2 linked regions of the Caenorhabditis elegans genome follow. The protein of the gene in region 1 purifies or fractionates together with the protein of each later gene. This does not show direct contact. Each region holds a gene or a part of one and is shown on either strand. Other genes may lie near its edges.

Region 1 (8,655 bases):
GGACATTCGAACGTATCATTATCAAAAACGGGTCGACTCGCACCCTCTCGGGAGGGCAAGCCCTCCATTATCACTCATTCTCGATACATTTAATCATTGTTCTTCCCAACACACACACTTTTCACCTTTTTTCTTGGAAGTATTGATTCATTTTTGATTTTTCCACTAAATTTCTCGGAATAACTTTCGAATTAGTTCGAAAATTGTTAATTCCAGGTCGAACGGATAAGTAAACGAATTTTCCACAGTGAGAAGCCTCAATCGACCTTTGTTCCTTCTGCTCAACAGACCAATTCTGCTCAAAGTACTAGTTCAAGTAGTACTACCGATCCACAAATGCCTCATCAACCAGTGCTTCTGAATCCTCCGTATCCTCCGGTTCATCCTGGATTTGGAACCGGGTTTCCACAGTTCTCATATCCACAACATCAGCAGCAAATACCAAGTGAGAATTGATTTTTTTTCATAAAAAACCGAATCCCTTCGGAAAGCTTACAAAAATCAAATTCAAGCATTTTCGAAGATCCAGCAACCTTTTTATAAATACAAATTCACTTTCTAACAGCTATTTTGTAAATTATTTAGAGTCTATCAGAAAAAATGCAGATGACTGAATATACTGTCAACTGCTCTTTTGAATTTCCCGTTTCTCTAAATAATATAAAAAACAACAAAGGATAATCTAGATAAACTTGTCTTCTTCTTCTTTTCAACCATAAACAAACGATTATCCTCTTTTATTGTATATAAATAATATAATTTTTGCAGATCCACCATATGGTTGGGCTCTAAATGCAGCAGCTCTACCTCCGTATCCATCATCTACTGCCTCATCATCTTCAGCTTCACAAACTCCATCATTTGCTCCTCTAAGCCTTGATACTGGATCTGGAAATGAGACGGCTGGTAGTGGATTCGATCATTTAGCCGTTCATCACGATGATAATCACGATGAAAGAGACTATTTGATACCAGATCAACATGAAATTATTGAGCTCCGGAAAGGTAGAAATATAAAAATGATTCTCAGGACCTGGTCTCGACACGAATATAGTTTTTTTTCGTAGATTCTTCCATCAAGTTTTATGAGAAAAAATCGAAAAAAAAATAGTGTATAAAATGTTTCGTAATTCATTTCGTCCGTGTGTTTGGGTATTTTTTGGGAGCAAAGCCGAAAACTAAAAAAACGACAAATCTGTTCTCAATTTATTTTTTTCAGCTCAATCGGCTAAACTGGAGCAAGGAAAACAACGGGTAATCAACGAGGTGACATCACTAAATCTAATCACAAATGACGTCACTGAGCTCAAAAAATGGTTTGATGCAAAATATCCACATACACTGGTTAACGATGCCGCGACGAATGAAGAAGAATTGGAGAGAACTGTTCGAAAATTGGAAGAAAAATTAAAAAGGTTGAGAGCAAAAAGTGCAAAAGGAGTTCCACCTCCAAGTGAGTGCTAATCATGGATGAAAGCTCATTATTTTTTGGGAATTCTACGAAATGACCTATGTTCTTTTGCACCATGTTCTTTCAACATTTTTCATTGAAAAATAGTCTCAAAATATAAAAAATCACTTGATTTACCAGAAAATAAAAATCTTTTCAACTGAAATATTGGAGAAAGTGCTCAAAAACTACCTGAAAGTTGCCAATCCCGAGCACTTTCTCCAATATTTCAGTTGAAAAGATTATTATTTTCTGATAAATTAAGTGATTTTCTATATTTTCACACCAATTTTCAATGAAAAACGTGATAGGCCATTTTTAGAATTTCCAAAAAAAATTGTCGCCTGCTGCCAATCTTTTTGTAAAATCTCCGAAATACCATTGTCTAGCAATCGACCTAAATTTCCAATTCCTGTTTCAGGACCGCCACCACCTCGTTCAATCAGTCAGGAGAACAGTACGGGTCCATGGATTTGTGATCGTTGTTCCAGAGAGAATAACTCCAATTCGTATCGCTGTCATCATTGTCAGCTCCCCAGTCGTCGATTTGATCCATCGGAAATTGATTTTTGTGGTTGTGAGTATTGTTCCACAGCTAATTCCACTGCCTAAACAGCTTCGATATTGATCGAACAGTCATTTTGCTTCGGAAATTCGGATTTTTTCGCTCTAAAATGACAGGAAAAGTCTAACAATTACAATTATAACTGTTTTAAAAAAATCCAAAAATTTTTTGGAAAAATTGAAAAAAAATCATAATAAATTTAGGAAAATTCTATAAATTTTTTACCGTTATATTCTGTGTCTTCAGACTATATTCTGTCAAATTTTACAAAAAAACCCATTATTCCGCCTGTAACCTTAAAAAAATGCAAAGGTCAATATCGAATCATGTTCTAATGTAATAATAGTTTTTAACCGAAGGTTGTGTTTTTATTGTATATATATTTTTTCTTGATTTTTCTTGATTTTGTGTTCAAACTTTTCTTATTTTTCAATGAAATCCTCGATTTTTGAATTTTATTTATTTTTTCTGATTTTTTTCACGACTTCCTTGTAAGCTCCGTGGCAGCTTCATATTCTAATATCTATCATTTTGTTTCCATTTTCTATTGATTTTAAATTAAAATTGTCAGCACACAGAAAATGCTGGCATTCTTCAGAAGGTTCATGTCAACGACTACTGTAACTGCTCAACCAGTGCTCCCGTGGTTCAGAAATGTGCCGCTAGCGCCTGCTGATCCAATTCTAGGAGTTACTGAAGCATTCAAGAAGGATACGAATCCGAATAAGATTAATTTAGGAGTTGGAGCATATCGTGATGATCAGGTAAGGGGGAAATGCTCAGAATTTTTTATTCTAGAATTAAAAAAAAAAAAGTTTTGAAACGAGTGGCCGGAATTTCAGGGCTGCAATTAAATAATTAAATAAATTGTAATTTCGGACCAAAAATTAATTGAAACCGGTGATAAAACCAAAAAAGCATTAAAAAGAAAAATATTTATTAAATATGAATAGTATTCGAAAAAATTATTAAAGACCTAAAAAAACCCACATTTTTCTATTTTTCACAAAAAAAAAGTGGTTAAAGTGAAAAAAGTTAGTTTTTTGAATTTTTTGGTGTTAAAATACGATTTTCGTTAATATTCTAACAAAAAACCCAAAAAAATGGCCGCGGCAATAATGGCTAATTGTCGAAAATTTTAAAACTCGGCAATTGTCGAAAGTGTCGGTTGCGGAATTTTGGAAAATTCTGCCAAAAATCCAATTTTCATCATGAGAATTAGGGTCTGGGACCAAGAAAAAAAAATTAAAATTTGCGAAAACCCAAAAAAAAATGATGCTTGAATTAATTTTTTTTAAACCGTTAAAAAGTGAACAATTTTTGGTTTTTTAGTTCTAAAACACCAAAAAATCAATTTTTCGTCGATTAACCAAATAAACCAAATAAAATACCAAAAGTGTCACAGCCCTGATGAAAATAAGTTGGAAAAATTATATTTCTTCACCAAAAACACTTACTACAGTGAAAATTAGTTTTTTGCAAAATTTTTTGAGTTTTTTTTTTCAAAATTTTTGAACTCGATTCATGTCGATGTCCAAAAATTTTTGATTGCCGTCTCACCCTCGATTTAATATTCAAATTATTGTAATTTTCTATTTTCAGGGAAAACCATTCGTGCTCCGAGCGGTCCGCGAAGCTGAGCAGCAAATTATAGATGCTAAAATGGACAAAGAGTACTCAACAATCACTGGAGTTCCAGAATTTGCGCCATTGGCTGCGAAACTCGCTTTCGGCGACAATTCCGAAGTGATTCGCGATGGAAGAGTCTTCACAACTCAATCGATATCCGGAACTGGTGCTTTGAGAATTGGAGGACAATTTGTGGAAAAGTTTATTCCATCCAAGACTTTGTTTTATCCAACACCAACTTGGGCTAATCATTTGCCAGTTTTTAGGTAAATTTTTTAAAATTTTATTTTTATTTTTCGGAAATCATATTTTTTAAAAATTTAAATCTATTTTTTTTAATCGAAAAGTCGAAAAACGAAAATTTTTCGATTTTCGGGAAAACAAAAAATCGAAAAAAAATTGAAAATTAACAAGAATTTGCAGCTTTTAATTTTAAAAACTTGTAGCTAAATAGTTTTCGAAAAAAATGTTTTTTTTTGTTTTTAGATTTTCCAAAGAAGCTACACTCTTATCGAGGAAAAAAATCGGGTTTTTTTGAAGAGAAAATCGAAGAACCATACTTTTCGATTTTTTGATTTTCCGTAAAGCAAAAAATCAAAATTTCCATGCACTTGTTGTATTTTTTCCCCTGTTAATTTCTGTTTCTGTTGCTTGTTGTCCACTTCTCACCCTCACCTCCTCTATTCAGAAATTCTGGTCTTTCGATTCAACCATACCGTTACTACAATCAAGAAACTCTTGGATTTGATGTTGAAGGAGCTCTCGAAGATATTTCAAAGATGCCAGAAGGATCTGTTATACTTTTGCATGCTTGTGCACATAACCCAACTGGTGTTGATCCTACTGTATGTTGCTTTGTTGTGATGTTTTGTTTTGTTATTATTTCGGGCCAAAAATACGGTACCCGGTCTCGCCACGAGATTCGTTTTGTTACATGCGAAAAGATGTGCGCTTTTAAAGAGTACTGTAATCTCAAACTTTAGTCGCTTTGGAATTTTCAAATATTTTTCTTTTTTGCCATTAAAAAAAATGTATTTATTGAAAAAAGCGAACAAAAAATAGAAGCACTAAATGCTTAACAAATCTTCAGAAAAAGTATTAAAAATTCATTAAAATGCGAACGAAAGTTTAAAATTACAGTACTATCCAAAGACGCATACCTTTTCGCATTTAACAAAAAAAAATTTCGTGTCAAGACCAAGTACCGTATTTTTAGCGCGAAATTTCGAGTGCTAAAAAACTTATTTTGTGACGAGATACCGTAATCTCACCTAATATTTTATTTTGCACTGTAGATATTGTGAAGATAACTAACTTAAAACAAAAATAATAGTTTTTAAATTGAAGACTCAATAAAACTTTTCAAAACTCATTGAATTTTCAGAAGGAGCAATGGAAAAAGCTGAGCCAAGTGCTGAAAGAACGAAAAATTCTTCCATTCTTCGATATGGCTTATCAAGGATTTGCATCAGGAGACGTTGACGATGACGCATTTGCTCTTCGTCATTTCATAGAACAAGGACACAATGTTCTCGTTGCTCAATCATTTGCAAAAAATATGGGATTGTACGGAGAACGTGTTGGTGCATTTTCGATTGTTTGTGATTCTGCTGAAGAAGCGATTCGTGTTGGATCTCAAATGAGAATTATCATTCGTCCAATGATCTCAATGCCACCACTTCATGGAGCAAGAATTGCTTCACGGATTTTGAGTAATCCAGAGTTGAAGAAATCTTGGTAGGAGTTTCTGAGTTTGTGAAGTCAGAAATTTAAAGATCAGAAACTGAAAAAAATAATTTTGGACCAAAAAAAATGAGATTTGCGAAAAACCGGTTTCTAAGCGACTGATTTTCTAAAATTCCAAAGAGTGTGTGCCTTTAAAGAGTACTGTAGTTGCCGAAAATTTGCTTTTAAAAATATTTAAATAATGGGCAAATTAGCTATTTTTCAAAAAAATGGATCTTTTTTATTTTTGAAATATTGGAAAAACGAAATCTATAAAAATGATTATTTCAGGCTGGAAGATGTGAAACTAATGGCTGACCGTATCAAATCAATGCGTACGGCTCTAAAAGACGGCCTGAAAGCTGAAGGATCTACTCTCAACTGGGATCATATTACCAATCAAATTGGAATGTTTTGTTTCACTGGAATCAATGAGAAACAAGTTCAAAAGCTCATCAAAGAGCACTCAGTGTACTTGACAAATGATGGACGTATTTCTATTTCTGGTATTAATACTGGAAATGTTGCATATTTGGCTAAAGCTCTCCATGACGTCACCAAGTAATGATTTCTCTAAGTTCTCTACGTGTCTAAGTTTCTTTCCGGTTTTATTGAAATTCAGGTTTTGCTTTTTTAAAAAGTCTATAAAATGGTTTTTGGATTTTCTTTTTTCGTCAACATTTTTTCTTTCTTCTTTTGGGTTCACATTCCCATTATCTTATCTTTGATGTTTTTCTTCCTTTGTTTGTTTGTCTTTTTTTTTTTAATTTCAATCTGTTTTTTTATTTTTAGGCTTTAAATCAATTTTATTATTGGTGGGTGAAACTTGGAGTTTTTATAGTTTTGTAGTCAAATTTCTATTTCCAACAAAATTGAGAAAGTCTAAAAATTGTGGCCTTTATCCGTTTTTAATAAGATACGGAGCTCATTCAATGAGAAAATTTCAACTTCCTCCATTTTTCCATTATTTATATCAAAAATTGTTGTTTTTAGGGCTCCCGATCAAGAGTTTCACCAAAAAACTATTAAAACTAAAAAATATTTTTAAAAATCTAATTTTTCTTCCTTCCGACCAAAAATTGAAATTTTTTAAAGAGTTTTTAAGATCGAAAAACCAAAAAAAAATCCTTCTTTGCCCAAAAAAAAAAACGAACTTTTTCCTATTACTCAATTGCAGAATTTTGCGAGTTTCGACGCAACAACACGACACCTGGTCTTGGCACGATCGAAACCTTGCAGCTACAGTACCCACCAGCTTCACTTAATTGCAAAAACTATGCAGTTGTTGAACATGCGAGTACTGTAGCTGTGAAGTTTCAGTCGCTTCGAGACCCGGCACCGTATTTTTAAATTAACAATTGCTGGCGATTAGGTAATAACGCTTTTGCTAAAACCATCGGTGTCTTATCAAAAGTTAATAATTTTTTTCAAGAAAAGAACTGAAAATTGCCAAAATTTCTTTCTTTTTTCTAAACATTTTCATATTTTGTCCTTCTTCTGTGATGGTGTGATCACATAGTTTGATATTGACCACGAAACGTTGTTGTATTCTCAAAAAATTGATACGATTTTTTAGTGATAACAAATGATAAGAGTGTCCGTTTTTCTGACTGTATACTTCTAGTGCGTGGTTGTGTACGTCAAGATAAATACAATATACAAAGTGCCCTTTCATCATTATTTTTCATGTTTCATTATTTTAAAATCTCTTAATTTTCAGGTTCAAACTTTCAACAAGCTCTTCTCATCGTCTTCAAAATGACCCTCTCGGTAAGCTTCAAATTCCGATGTAGAAAATCCAAAATAATCTCAAATTCAGAATAATGACAACAACAGAAAGCAATAATTGTAAAACCGTGATTTTTCAATGTTGGCAAATTCCCTTCAAAATAGCGGAGGGAACTTAGTCAAAATTGAAAAAGAGACATTTTTATAATTTGGCGATTTTTTTCTGAATTTGAGACTACTTTAGATTTTTTGAAGCAAAATGTTGATATTTTCCCAATAAAATCTCACTAAGTCTTTTCAATTTTCAGTTCGACGACGCTGCTGCCACCGTTAAGACCCTCAAGACTTCCCCATCGAATGATGAGCTTCTCAAGCTCTATGCTCTGTTCAAACAAGGAACCGTCGGCGACAACACCACCGATAAGCCAGGAATGTTCGATTTGAAGGGAAAAGCCAAGTGGTCTGCCTGGGATGAGAAGAAGGGACTCGCAAAGGATGATGCTCAGAAGGCCTATGTTGCTCTTGTTGAGGAGCTCATCGCCAAGTACGGAGCCTAAATAAATTCTGTTTGATAATACGTTTTTTTAACATTTATATTTTTGTAATGAAGATTCTGTGATTCCGAAGAATTTAGACATAAAGTTGCCTATTTGATCAGCAAACTTGAACTTTCAGAAGAATGCATTTTCCATGTTCCCTGTTCCGAGTGATCTGCAATTTCTTTTTTTCCGGTCTGCTACTCTAAAACTTTGGTTTATCCGAATAATTTATAAATCAAAACCGCAACTCTTTTAAATTGGTAATAATACAGTAAAAGAGATGTTAAAAAGAGTGAGAAGTCAACAAAATGAGGGTATTCAAGATTAATGAATGGGGGGACAACACAACAATAATGATAACAACAAAAAATGGAGGAAAAAGTAAAAAAAAAAGAATGAGATTTTTGGGTTTGTTCAACAAAAGATGAAATTACTCGGCGGCAGCAGCAGCTGGAGCACCATCCTCAGCGAACACAGTACGCTTAGCCTTTGGCTCATCAGATCCATCTGCACCTTCATCGTTTGCTGACCGCTTATCACCTCGGCGGTCTCCGCGTCCACCTCTTCCACCACGACCTCCACGACCACCGCGGCCTCCTCGTCCGCCACGACCACCGCGTCCTCCACGTCCACCTCCTTGCCTCTGATTCTTTCTGGCATTGAACTCTGTCCAGTATTTCTCCTCCTCTTCTCCATCCAAAACTCGTGCGGAGAGCTCAGCCTCTTGAAGAATGACTTTTCCATCAGTTCCAGCTGCAACAGCGTTGTCCCAGGCCTTCTGCGCTCCTTCGCTGTCATTGTTGAAGCGGATTTCGGCTGTTTTGCCTCCATTTTCATGTGCAACGTATCCAACAGATCCGTGCAATTTGAAGAAAGTCTTGATGCTGTCAATAGTTGAATCAGGTCCAAGTCCATCAACGGCCAGAATGAGACCTTTCTCGTAACGGACAGCGTGCTGAGCCTTTTCTGATTCAATCGCTTCAGAAGTATTCTTAGCTGATTTGGCAGCCTTGTTTGCA
Region 2 (6,541 bases), on another chromosome or scaffold:
TTTTCCACTCGAAAAATGTCAATAGTGCCTCCAAAAGCTGGACTTCCATTCAGTGGATTTCGAATCGATATAAAATGTGATACGTAAGTAAATAGAAATTTATAGTGATTTTTCAAAACTTAATTATAATTTTCTTAGAAACTATTTCGGAGCCCACTGTGAACATTTCTGTGATGAGGAGCAAGCAAGATCAATGGGTCGAAGATGTAATATCCTTGGAAATATTGGTTGTCCAATTGGAGTCCGTGGATCAAAATGTGATATTGAACTTCCAATTGATAGTGGAATCTGTAAATGCATGAATGGCGGAAAATGTGTGAATTCGTTTGATTCGAAATTAACCGCAGATTTTCCAATCTGTGAGTGTCTGAATGGATTTGAAGGAGCTGCTTGTGAGAAACAAATGAAAATTTTTGAGCCGAAAATCTCAACTCGCCTTTTTGAATCAACTGCTCGATTCCATGATTTGGCAAATGTTTCCGTTAAAAATCAATTGTACGATGATAAAATGGATATTTATTCAAAACATGTCGCACCGTCTTTTCATGTTTTGCAACAAGGTGCACTAAATGGAAAAGCTCTTCGAGCACCTAAGAAGCAGAAAAACACAATTATATTTGATCCAGTAACTCTTTCATTTCATCCAACTAAACCAATATCCACACCATATTTCCCAAAGGGGCGACCTGTTAGACTAAATTCACAGTCGTAATATAGGGTTTTAAAAACTGAAAATTCTGTGAGGTTTTTTTTAATGTAATTTCTAAAATATTATACTTTTTCGTTTACTTTGAAGCATCTCCCACACGTGTATTCTTCTTCCTTCCAGTTTTTCTTTTATTTAACATGGTTTTTATTGATAATTATTTGTATAGTTTTTTCAAATCAATAGCTAATAAAGTATCAAAAATGAATGTTCGTGAGTGGATATTTCGGTCAAGTAGAACCGCATACAGTTGCTCGGGAGCTTGTCAAACACGAAAAAGGTGTTGCGACTTGGCTTTGTCCACCTTCTTCAAATGTATCTTCTTGATTTCAATGTGACAAAAACAAATATACGGGTCAGGTTATTTATGGAGACTTTTTTTGAGATTAAGATGGAAAAATCTTTTACGAAACTTTGCGAAGGCAGAATAAAGTAATAATTTTCAATGAAGACTTCCTTTCTGTTTCAATTTTCAAATAAATCCCTTCCAATATCATTTTGATAAAATTTATACGAGAACATTCAATAAGTTTCTAAAAACCAGCTAATTAATTTGACTTGACGTGCGGCTCTGTTGAAATCTATATTACAGTTTTTAGTGTATTTTTCTCTTTATTTTACCATTAAATATAAAATCATTTGGTTTGCTTTGTATTTCAAATAGCAAGAACATTGAACACTAAACCACATTTGAATGTTTCATAAATCCGGTTTTTAAGTAAATAATTTTTGTTTGGTTTTTTAAATAACCGGCAGAACGGTGCTACTTATTTCAGAAACTGAATAAAGTTTAACAAGTTGTAGCATATCAGGAAAATCTGTGATAAATACAATTTGTAAGGGAAACATATAAATTGATAAAACATAAATCCAAGTGACAAAAAAGGAAGTATTGATGACTGAGTGACCTTTTGTCTTTCGATAAACAGTCATAAAACACAACAACCGCCCTACATTCAACATCTTCAATTGTTTTAAAGTATTGATTCGTCTGGTCAGTATCAAGATGTTACTCCGTTTCTTTGCTATTTTATTAATTTTTCATTTCTCATTTGCTGCTGATGGAATATTTGAAGCTGTTATTGAGAGCTATAAAGATGCTCTTCCACCAAAAGTTGTTGCGGCTTTTGATAATTTGAGTCCAGGGGAAAGTGCTATTATGAAAGAAGTATTCATGAATTATGATAAATTTACAAGTATTGCTGATCTGATTGTTGCAATCAAGAAGAAATCGGAATCACTTGGATCGTTTTTCGAGAAACTTTACATTGAAATTGACGCTGAAATTCAGGCATTAACACCGGAAACAAAGAAATTTGTAACTGAAATGTTAGGAATTGGCAGAGCAATTTATACTGCACAAATTGTTGGAATTCCATTAGATTCTAAAGAAGTCCTACCTGTATTTGCAAAGTAAGTTAATTCGTTTTCCACCAACTTTGATGACAATGAAAAATGTAGAAACTGTTTTTTTTTGAGTTTAAAAATATTTAAATTCACAGCTTCTTTGCAAATTCTATAAAGTTTGAAAATACTATTTTGTACACTCTTAAAGTTTTTGTGAATTTAAAAATTTATTCAGAGACTTTGAAATGTTGGTAAATATCGAGTAGCAACAATGGAGAAGATTTTTCAAACTACATCTATAGTGCTAAACTTTTCAAAAATTACTATGTTTTTGCAGTTAAAAATTTGAAATGTCAGCCAAAAAAAGGTTTTTTCCTAATAGTACGAATTTTATACTTTTTTAAATTCAATTGTATGGCTTTTAACACGGGAGTGGTTTGAACATATGAAATTGCTCTAAGTTTCTTTAAAAACCTTTCGTAAATTTGGAAATGCTCTGCATCTAAAAAATTTAAGAGTTTTCTTGCCATTTTGAATCATTATATGATATTTGGAAAAAATTTTTGTTGAAGCAATTCCATCTTTAAATTTATAATGTTAATAACAAAACACACATATTTGTAGAATAGATATATTCAACAAATAAAATGTGCCCCCTCTAACATATGCAAAATTTCAGACAATTTACTTCGTTCAAATCACTATCGGATGCTACAAAGGAAGAACTTGAAAAAACATTCCTCGGTCTCTACAAATTCGCTTCAAACGACAAGATCAAGACTGAGATTGATAAATTGTTGTGATATGATAGCAATGAATAAATACTGTGGTTTATGTTTTGGGTTTCATAATAATAAAAAAATCCTCAAATTTATTACGGTCTATAGATACAATTTTGTGACATTAGTAATTTTATTTACTGGTTATTGTTCTTCTCAAGAAGCTTGGCAATGAGTGTTTGAGTCTTGTCATCCTCCAAAAACTTGGCGACTCCTCCGAAATTTTTCTTCAACTCGTCTTGAGCCTCAGCTGGCAATGCCTTGTATGCAGCAACTTGGCTGAAATACCGAGGATGATAAATATATTTTTATTAATACACAAATTTCTTCGATAAAACCTACGTTTCAATGAGAAGCTTGATCTCGGAAACTGAGATCTTCTCTCCATTAACAGAACGAGCATAAAGACCACGTCCTCCAGCAATGAGCTCGTTAACAAAATCCTTTGGTTTTGGGCTCAATGCATCAACCTTCTTTTGGAGCTTAGCTTGAAGCTTCTCAGCCTTTTCTCCCAAGCTTGAAGACTTTTCTTTGAGAGCAGCAATCAATTCTCCTTCGTTTTTGTAGCTCTTGTAGTTCTTGAATACATCCTTCAATGCAGCCTTCTCTTCTGGAGACAAATCCTGATAGGCTTGAACAACTTCGGATGGAAGGAGATCTTTGTGTTGCTTCAAAATTTGAGAGAATGGAGAAGAATCATCAGCTGGAGCAGCAGCTGAGAAACGGAGAAGAACCAAGCAGAAAACGTTGAAAGCGAAAAGACGAGACATTGTTGATGTTGCTCTTTAATTCGAATTCATGTCTATTTATACTAAAATTTTGTGATTTGTTAAATGGGCGGTTCAATTCTTCCATACTATTTTCGCCAAAGATGATGTCAATTCGTGGAGAAGGCGCCATAACTGTTGTAGCCTCCGTGTGGTCTGGACATTGTTCCTTGCAAACCTATGTTGGTCTTCAGATGATTCGTTCGATTATCAAGGACAATCAGACGGCGTTGTTGTTGTGGTGTTTAGCATAAGAGATCATCAAGACGAGGTTAGAAAATCTATTTGTTTATGTTTTTGAGTGTAACCTTGGATGCTATTCATCTTCTGTTTCATAGGAAAAACAATCTTTAGAGTTTGAAGAAACTTTTATCACAGTAACTACAACTTTAATGATGTGAAAGGTAAACAAGTGATGTTTACTTATTTTTGGTGTCTCAATGTGGATTTTTATATGAAGTTTTGGAATATGATCGTTCTGTTAACCCGATGTCATAACCCGACGCTGCAAAACATTTATATTCTCTAAAGTTACACCATTCAGTATATTTTCAGATTATAATCTAGATGAACACATTTGGAATCCGTTTTAGCTGAAAATTTGTTACAAAATTCACAGTTGAGAGAGCCGAGGTAGTTGGAAATAGGTGATCCTAGTTTTATGACCTTTTTTCAGCAGTTATGATTAATTCAACTGCAGCTTCACTTTTCCTAAATTTGTCACGATCTTCTGAAATCTATAAGATCAATTCATCTTCCGACTGTCTGGAAAATATTAATTTCTTGGAAAACAGCAATCTCTCAATTTGGACAGCAGGCTACACAATTAAAAAAATGTTGGTTGATCTTTTGACAGCCTGATAGAACGATCTTCGTTTTCCTTTAGAGGTGAACAAATTTAGATGTTGTTGTGGTTTATGGAAATGTTTTATTTAAAAATAATACAACAACATGCAGTATAAAATATGTACATACTTATCACAATAAGATTATTAATTCACTTATTTTCCCATACCCATTCCCATGCCTTGTCCCATGCCTTGTCCCATTCCGATTCCACCTCCGCCGCCAAAGAATCCGCCCATCATGCTTCGAAGACGTTGTTCACGCATTTGTCTCATGAATTGGAAGATTTGTGGAAAAGTACTTTGAAGTTCCTGTTGTGCATATGGAGGTAATGATCGATAGTGCATTGCAATTCTGAATATTTAAACTTGGGATTTGGAATTAGTGAATTGAACACAATTGTTGTAATACATACGTTGTTAAGCTGGAAAACAATAAGATGAAAACTATCACTCATATGAAAGTTTGGATTTTTCGTTGAAACACATAACTTTCAGCAGATATCAGAATCACGGACTTTGCCGACATTAAAGTCAATTGAAGAGCTTTATACAATTTGGACTAAACTTTCAGCGCATACACAAAATTTTCTACCAGTCTCCAAAGCTACGTTCCCCTGTCTGGCCTATCCAGGAAAACATGAAGGGTCAACATATTACTCTAAATAAGGAAATTATCGAGAAGATCTTAAATCTCATAAGTACAGACAACAATAACTTCGCAGTGAAATAAGTAGAAGGTAGGTAGGCTATTGCAATGCCTCGTAGAATTACCATTTGATTTTTAAGCTGATAAAAATGCCTTACTCGGTAAGAAACTGTCTTACTGTTTAGACAGAGAAACAATATTTTTCTACTGAATGTAAATAATCATACCCCATTCCAACTTGTCTCAATTGTGACTGATCCATTTGTTGTCCATTAAGCCGTTGAGCATAAATTTGTCTTCCAGTTGAAATCAAATTCTGAATAAATCCTTTCGCTTCTTCGCTACTCAATCCATCGATTTTCTGCTTCAAAGCCATCAATCTCCGTTCCATTCGGGCTCCGAGTGCTGGATTTTTCATTTTCAAAGCATTAACCATTTCTTGTTCATTTCGGTAGTTTTGATGATTACGGAATACATCTTTCAGATCAGGTTGATCTTTTTGACTCAGGTTACTGTAGGCCTCCACAAGCTCCCTTGGAAGTAAGTTCTTAAATTTTTGAAATCCTCCCGCTTGTGGTTCTCCGAATGGAAAAGCTGATGTAATAAAAAAGAGAAGAGAAAGTACAAGTAGAAGTAATTTACTCATTATGGTAACTGAAGTATTTTATTTTTTCCAATCCTCTTTTATTCGATTTCAATTTTGTGACTTTGAGTGAAACTCGCAGCGTCACTAATTTCTTTGCCGAAAAACTTTGCAAATTTGTGATTGGGATAGTTTTTATGTTTTTTTCTCGGTCTGGGCGACGTTCTTTCTTGAAAATATTTGATGCCATCAAAGATTGAGAACAAGAATTGGCGACTATACAGGAAAATTAAATAATCTTCATAGATTTGTGATTTAAATAAAATCTAAGTATACTACAAAGCTAAAAACTCATTTCAGGTAATACTGAGGAAATCAATCGTCCAATTTTATTGTTATTTTCTAATTTTTTTTGCTTGATAACTTTTGATTTTATTTGAAATAAATATTTTGTCTATCACAATCAGTACGTATTTCATGAAATTAACTTTTATAAAGATGTTTCTAGAATTCAAATGAAATATAAAAATTTATTTATTCATTTTCTTATGCCAAACATGATTTCTAATTGAAAAATCGACACTTCCGAACAAAATTCACACATTTCTAGGCTTGCTTGACCTACAGTAATATGTTAATTCGTGACAGTACCCACCAGCTGCTGCGGTGCACGCGTCTTTCCTTGTACACGCGCGAAAATTTTGCCTTTTCTTCAATTTAGGCCAATTTTTTTTCATTTCAGCTGTATTTTTTATCTAAAATCGACGTTTTTGTTTTCATCAATCGGATTTTTTTTGATTTTCCGAACAATTTACGGAATTTAACACCTTTTTTAATAGTTATTTGAAAGAAAACTACAGATTAT

What was found.
Region 2: the proteins of got-2.1 (region 1) and far-5 fractionate together in Caenorhabditis elegans (co-fractionation; one large-scale study listed by BioGRID). This does not show direct contact.

The regions. Positions count from the first base shown.
Region 1 is NC_003279.8:4,634,814-4,643,468, reverse strand, and holds got-2.1 (Aspartate aminotransferase), read left to right. Parts: upstream 1-2,586; 5' UTR 2,587-2,596; coding exon 2,597-2,779; intron 2,780-3,617; coding exon 3,618-3,910; intron 3,911-4,332; coding exon 4,333-4,489; intron 4,490-5,028; coding exon 5,029-5,381; intron 5,382-5,498; exon of another isoform or gene 5,499-5,636; intron 5,637-5,660; coding exon 5,661-5,934; 3' UTR 5,935-6,037; downstream 6,038-8,655. Other genes in the region: Y119C1A.1 (RanBP2-type domain-containing protein), read left to right, coding at 217-445, 769-1,005, 1,220-1,453, 1,872-2,062; acbp-1 (Acyl-CoA-binding protein homolog 1), read left to right, coding at 7,128-7,139, 7,406-7,654; ssb-1 (Lupus La protein), read right to left, coding at 8,067-8,655.
Region 2 is NC_003283.11:12,993,911-13,000,451, forward strand, and holds far-5 (Fatty-acid and retinol-binding protein 1), read left to right. Parts: upstream 1-1,658; 5' UTR 1,659-1,712; coding exon 1,713-2,119; intron 2,120-2,732; coding exon 2,733-2,856; 3' UTR 2,857-2,926; downstream 2,927-6,541. Other genes in the region: dsl-7 (Delta-like protein), read left to right, coding at 1-83, 139-712; far-3 (Fatty-acid and retinol-binding protein 1), read right to left, coding at 2,970-3,111, 3,175-3,602; far-4 (DUF148 domain-containing protein), read right to left, coding at 4,601-4,799, 5,321-5,739.